Bombyx mori: one gene and its partner. The protein of the gene in region 1 interacts with the protein of each later gene in a pairwise test. Links are inferred from orthologs where the notes say so. Each region holds a gene or a part of one and is shown on either strand. Other genes may lie near its edges.

Evidence for each region.
Region 2: the proteins of BTB/POZ domain-containing protein KCTD9 (region 1) and protein N-terminal glutamine amidohydrolase interact in binary tests that used the Homo sapiens proteins (3 or more experiments, as listed by UniProt). The link is inferred for Bombyx mori from reciprocal best matches to the Homo sapiens genes KCTD9 and NTAQ1.

The regions. Positions count from the first base shown.
Region 1 is NC_085132.1:6,119,175-6,121,721, forward strand, and holds part of BTB/POZ domain-containing protein KCTD9, read left to right. Parts: intron 1-124; coding exon 125-260; intron 261-631; coding exon 632-706; intron 707-1,374; coding exon 1,375-1,493; intron 1,494-2,150; exon of another isoform or gene 2,151-2,232; intron 2,233-2,547. UniProt on the Homo sapiens protein: Substrate-specific adapter of a BCR (BTB-CUL3-RBX1) E3 ubiquitin-protein ligase complex, which mediates the ubiquitination of target proteins, leading to their degradation by the proteasome.
Region 2 is NC_085111.1:12,730,704-12,735,298, forward strand, and holds the start of protein N-terminal glutamine amidohydrolase, read left to right. Parts: upstream 1-1,742; 5' UTR 1,743-1,832; coding exon 1,833-1,951; intron 1,952-2,031; coding exon 2,032-2,185; intron 2,186-2,428; coding exon 2,429-2,577; intron 2,578-2,887; coding exon 2,888-3,012; intron 3,013-3,291; coding exon 3,292-3,401; 3' UTR 3,402-4,595. UniProt on the Homo sapiens protein: Mediates the side-chain deamidation of N-terminal glutamine residues to glutamate, an important step in N-end rule pathway of protein degradation.

The DNA of each region.
Region 1 (2,547 bases):
CATTTACGTTGTGGATGTCTATGTGCTCCAGTCACCACTTAACATCAGGCGGGCTGTGAACTCGTCCACCCATCTAAGCAATAAATAAAAAAACAATTGAAAATAGTGCAATTTTTTTTTTCAGTATGCCTTCTTATCTCGGTGCAATTTGAGTGGTGCTAATCTGTCTTACTGCTGTCTGGAAAGGGCGGACTTGTCGCATGCTAATTTAGAAGGTGCCCAGCTTCTTGGAGTTAAAGCTTTATGTGCTAACATGGAAGGTCCGTATAAAAAGAATTTACAATATAAAACATAGAGAAAGATTTAAAAGAAAATATAGTACCTAAATACATGAAGATACGAAAAAAAGGCGTATAATAATAGTTACAATAAATAAATAAAACTTTAAATGTACTTACTGTACACAGGCACCGAATATGTCGAGTGATCACTGACCCTCATGGACTTAAGCAAAACTTGGGACAAAGCCACTGCCTACCGCTGAGTACTTAAACCTCATTTAATGGAGAAAATGTCATAGCACTCAGAAAACATTAGGCAAGTTTCTTCGAAAATTTCCCACAATTCCATAGTCACATTCTGTTTAATATTAGTATAAAATTTTTAATGAGATATTTGAGCTTATTTACAGGTGCTAATTTAAAAGGTTGCAATATGGATGATCCTCACGGTAACAAAGCACTGATGGAAGGCGTTAATCTTAAAGGTACATTCAATTCTAATTAGAGTGGTATGTGCATTTATACACTGTATTGCCATACAGTGGCATGCCAGTGGCCACATTGGTATTTAGCTAAGCCAATACTAATATAGATAATGGCTATTATTTGATAGCTATGAAATTAATAATAATATATTGGTGAATACAAGTCTTGTTTTGAGGGAAAGAGCAACCAAGACATCATATTTATTTACGTTGAATAACCATCACTAGTACCAAATAACTAGCAAAATAGTATTAATAAAAATAAAAAAACATGTAGGTACAATATTATTTTTTGGTAGCACTCCAATTCTTTACAATAAGATGGAAAATTTTACGAAAGCGTATCGTCTTTGTTGAATTGTTTTTGAATTATGAGTCTATATTTTATTTAACCAAAAATTAGAGGATCTGGGATAAATTATTTGTGATGATCCACAGAGATCAATTTGACAGTGTACGTCAAATTGATCCAACGTACTTTGGAATGAACTCTGTGTTTCTTGAGCGCTTTGACTTCTTTCTCCAAACAAAGTTTAAGTGAAGTCCTCAATAGTAGTGTAACAAAGATCTTCTCTAATTGAATGCGCAATGCTAGTACAGTATTTTGGGTCACTAACAAACAATGAAGTGATCCAAATTGGTTGGTTAAAAGAGAAAATAATTTTCAGGAGCAAATCTAGAAGGCAGTAATATGTCGGGGGTTAATTTGAGAGTGGCAACACTAAAGAACGCCAACTTACAAAACTGCGATCTGAGGACGGCTGTGCTCGCCGGTGCAGATCTGGAGGTACTTTTTGTTCCATCATATTTCTGTTGCTAAGCAGTCCTCCGTTTCGGCTTGAGACTACCGCCCCGTGTCTCAAAGAGGAGTGCAGCATTCACGTAGCGAGGTTCATAGGCTTCCAAACCCCTTAATATTAGGCCATGAGTTCACCTATCCATAGCAAAAACTAGTAAGGAGAATGTGAATGTATGATGTTAAAAGATTTTCTGATCTTCAAAAAGAAGAGTAACAATAATTCCAAATGAATGAATGTTTTAATTTATTTATTTTTGTACCTGTAATGTAATAATTGCACTTCTATACTCTCTTCAATCGGTCGCTCATTGCTGAGGATCGTGACTCCGTTTGATTCCGTCAACTAGCTGTCTCCATCGATCCCGTTCTGTAGCTTAATGGAGGGCGTCGCTGACAGGTATTTTTAGTTCATCCACTATTTGGTCCGACCATCGTTTGGGATCTCTACCCCTTGGCCTTTTTCCCTCGATTTTACCGGTCACCATAAGGCGTTCCGAGAACTCCATGGAAAAGGTCAACTTATGTAATAAACAATTTATTTATCTTGAGCAGCCTTGCGAATAAGCATATATATTTTTAAAATACAACAGTATAATTAGATTGAGTAATATTTATGTAATATTTTGGGGCAAATAAAAAAAAAATTGGCAGCGGTGGGATTCGAACCCACGCCTCCGAAGAGACTGGTGCCTTAAACCAGCGCCTTAGACCGCTCGGCCACGCTACCGATATTCCGTGACGCAAAATAGTGAAGTAGCTTCTCCAGTAAGTCTATTTTGGGAAACTAAGATTAAATAAAAATCCATGACCTGAATTTTTATAGTACTTGTATTTTTTCCACACAACGAAGACGAAAAAAAAAAAAAAAAACGTCGTTAGCTAGTCTGCCGTGTCGAGTTGAATGTTATTGAAACCAATATAAGGAAACACGGGTTTCGTTTTGTCCGTACATACATACGTATTGTTCTTTTCCCCTCCCAATAATGACGAAGGCAAACATTTCCATACCAAACGACTATTTTTTTTTTAAATATTCAGCACT
Region 2 (4,595 bases), on another chromosome or scaffold:
ACCGCGGTAACCCCCCTACCTCATCCGGGTTCTGACCTCGGAGGGGATCGGACGTCGGGTGTAAGAGTGCAGGGGAGTCGTTTAGTGGGTAGGCGCTAAAATTCCTTGGGCCCGCGGTCTGCTCCCAACACCTTGCAGATCGTTGAGTCACACATACCCGCGCGCCCCCTAGGCGAGGGGACCTCGTAGGAGGTTCGGCCCCCGACACGAAAAAAAAAGAAGAAAAAAGGTAGTTAGCCCTACGGGCGATGAACCGTCGAGGCGATCCGCCCAGTCCTCTCGGACTGGGTGAATCCCGAAGACGTCTCACCTTCCGAGCGACGCATGTACTTACGGAACACGGCTATTTCGGTCGCTACCTGCACCTCGTCGCCCGGAGGGAGCCGATGCCGAAGTGCCACCACTGCAGCGGCTGTAAGGAGAACACGGCGGAGCACACACTCACGTACTGTCCTGCTTTCGCGGAGTGGCGCCGCTTCCTCGTTGCAAAAATAGGACCAGACTTGTCGCTTCCGAACGTCGTGGCTACAATGCTCGGCAGCGACGAGTCTTGGCAGGCGATGCTCGGCTTTGCGAGTCCACCATCTCACAGAAGGAGGCGGCGGAACGGGAGAGGTAGAGCTCTTCTTCGTGTGCCCGCGCACCATGCCACCCCCACCAAGCTGGGGTTCGGAGGAGGGCGTTCGTCCAGCTCCAGCCCCTGTGAGGAGGCAGTTTCCTCCCGGTGACGGTCACAGGGCGACCTGAGGGGGTTGAGGCTGCGCTGCACGCTACCACGCCGTCACTCTAGCACGCTGGCACCAGGCCACGTTGTCGTCGTCGCTGTCGTCCCCGAATATACTGTGGAAGAGCAACCCGGTCGGCGGTGTATCGCGTTCCGACCCGGCAGGCTGGTTCTGACCCAGCAAGGTATCATGGAACACCTGCGGCAACGCCTGGACGGCCTGGCAGGGCCGCCGTAACGCGGAGATCGGCGTCGTTAGTCGTCGACTATCCTAGCCTAGACAACCGTCAACGCGTCGGTTGGCTGTCCTGGAGGTGGCGGGCGGCATCGCGAGTATGGTTGTAGTGTTGACCGCAGGAACCTCCTACTCTAACCGGGTTCTGACCTCGGGTGATGATCGGACGTCGGGTATAAATATGCAGGGGAGTCGTTTAATGCGGTAGGGCCCTGAAACTCCTTGGGTTCGCTTTCTGCTCCCAACATCTGCAGATCCTCAAGTCCCACGTACCCCGCGTGCCCCCTAGGCGCAGTGATCTCGTAGGAGTATTTTAGAAGTAGAAATTCAACAGAGATATTAGGTAGTAGATACCTATCTCTATATAGTCTGTGACACGACTACAACACACAGTGTGGAAATGGGTTAAATTTGGCTCTCAAATATTAAGTGTTTAATCTGAATTTGGCTACACACGTTCTCCAAAGGACTTTTTGGCGGTAACACGAAGAGTGAAGTTGTGTGATTTGTTTTATTTTGTCTATTTAGTGTTTTTTTTATGTTTAAATGTGTAATAACGGTGGTTTATTAACTATTAAATATCTGTGATAGTGCACAAATGTGGGAAAATGAAACATTTCATTTAATTTCATCCCAGTTGATTAATGTCTCAAATTAATCATCTTCATTTCATTTCATATCATTTGACTCCATATTATCATTTTTCATAAAATAAGAATAAAAACTAAAATAAGACTTGGCCTAAAGGTCTTAGTTACCAGGTCATAAAATCCCTTAAAAAACGTTCTCCAATAGTCTCTGTCTCTAGAATCTAGATTTATGTTTGTTTGAAACCTTCGTTGAAGTTCGTTGCATAGATATTAAACTGTCAAAATGTCGGTAAATGCACAAATGCATTTAAACAGCAATGCAAATATTATAAAGAGTGATAAAACTATAATAAAACCTTTATTCCCTAAACGTGAGGAATGTTCTCATGTGTCCTGTTATTGGTATGTAGTAATTTCCGCACACTTTCTGAAAATTCTTTGTTGAAATTTGCAATAATGTCTCTGTTTATTCAATTTTTTAGTGAGGAAAACGTTTGGAAACTTTGCCAAGACGTTTCATTGAGAGTACCCGAGGAATTGGATAGATGCTATGTCGTTTTCATTTCGAACCCTTGCCGCACAGTGCCTCTTTGGAAACAAAGGGCCGGGCGTGAAGAAGATCGTCTCGTCATATGGGTGTGTACCAATACATCGTTTTTGGTTTTTGTTTTGTTGTTACTTAGCTTACAATCAATAAATCTATTAACAAGTTTAACAGGTAATTCATGAATTTTACAAATTGTTGACATACATACATATTATATATAATATTTTTTTACGATGTTAAAAATAAAAATAAAAAAATAATCTCAGAAAATAGATCTAAAGTATATGAATATTGTTCAACCCTATTTATTTAACTTATTTTTCTGGTTTCAGGATTATCATGTGATATTCCTGTATTCTGTGGATATCAAGTCTTGTCTTGTATATGATCTTGATTCAGAATTACCATTTCCAACATTTTTCCACAAATATGTAACAGAAACTTTTCGCACAGACCAAGTCCTCAAATCAGATTTCCACAGGTAAGATTTACTGATTTAATTAAAATATAGATACCTAGCAGTTTTTTGTTTTGTGTTTAGTTTTTTGTACCCCTGGCATGATTGGTACCACTTACAATCGAAGGGGCTATAGTTATGCTTGTTGTGGCAAAAATACACTCAAATTATGGTTTAAGTAATTTAATAAAGTGTCCCTTTAAAAGAAATGTATAGAAAATAGTAAAAAACTGAATTTTCATTAAAATTAAAACATAGCGAAAAAATATTAATATTATAATTTAAACATATTAAATTGGTGGTTGGGTGTTTAATAAAAAAAAATATGTTTTAGGTTCTTTCGTGTTGTGACTGCAAAACAATTTCTGCAACTTTTTTCATCAGATAGACGTCATATGAAAAGACCAGATGGTTCATGGATTAAACCCCCACCACCCTACCCAGCAATAAGCACTTCAGGTTAGTGAGCCACACCCATTGTTGCATGATAAAGTATAATTATTAAAATGAATGAGGTCAACTTTTGTTGTATGCTAAAGTAGTCATGGCAACATTTGATACCTTCTAGCTACATGGGCTTTGATAGTTTGTATTTAATATCAGCTATTTTAACATTAAATAATTTAGAAAATTGATTAAATATAATTGAATCAACCTTTGCTTGCATCTCATACTTTGCTCGATAATAAAGTATGTTGTCACAAAATCTTAAGGTTTTATTAAAATCTGACCTTTCAGTCTCAACACACAACTTGGATGAGTACATCAATATGGATGTAGACACAGGACCTGGGCAGGTCTACAACTTGACAGATTTTGTCCAACGTTTCTACAAAATTAACAAGTAGTACAAAAATGAAGCCTAGATAGTCCTAAATATAATTTAGTTTAAATTATCTTTATAATTGGTTTTTGTTGATTATGTTTTAGTAATCTGTTAGTAATTGTTTTTGTACATCCCTAAAAAATAAATCTGTGATTCGATTGCCATTTAGTAAATATTAATTTTTGTACAGTTTGACAACATTACACTTTATTTGATAATGATTTATTTATTTGTGAATTTTTAAATATTTTTCCATACTTATTTTAGTTGACATAAAAGGACTTGAAAAAATGATTTTGAGTAAACACATAAATCACATTCACTTTTATCTTTTAATAAAATGATAAAGCACACATTGATTTAATTAAAATCACTCACTACTAATAATTAAGAACCCATGACATACAAGTTCGTGGTATTTTGACATTAAACACAACTATAATAAAAAAAATTACATACCTTTATTACTTACTTGTTAAGTGCTTTCTATCGTCATGTTAGTATATTATCTAATATAAAAAGATTATCCTTTTAATAATAAGCAAATGGCAAGTTAGATAGATAACTAATACTTATAATAAAATTTGTAAGTATATAATCAAGAGGCTAGTGCTATAATTTCAAATATTGAATTGTAAGTAAGTAAGTAGAGTTTTAAAATTTTATTTATTATTAGGATCGCCAAAGGAATTTACAACATTGCATGACTGTACTTCAAACAATGAAATGTGGGCTAATTGCAATTCTCATAACAGGCTACCATAAATTATAAAAGAATTCAATGTTAATTTTGGTGAGTAACTATAAAACATAATAAAGATTATTTGATACTTGTTATGACTGAATTAAACTTTATTTACTAAATTTATGTTATCTTGAGTGATAATATAAAATTGAAGTAATTTTTATTAAAATGTATATTGTTGTGAGTAGCTTTTGTATGTTGTTAAATCTATTTCAAAATTTTGTAACAACTTTTATACACTTCTTTATTCTTCCCTAGCACCCTTAGTAAATATAAATTTACCTTCATGTTAATCCAGAAATTAAAACAATTTTATTGGAATGAAAATACTTGTTATATTCGTAAATATTTATTAAAAATTTATTAATATATAACTGGTTATAAGGTTTTAATTGTATCGCTTAGATTTTTAACTATATTGCTGTTATAATTGGCGCAATTTTAAATGCATCAGCAAAATGAGCAAATCAA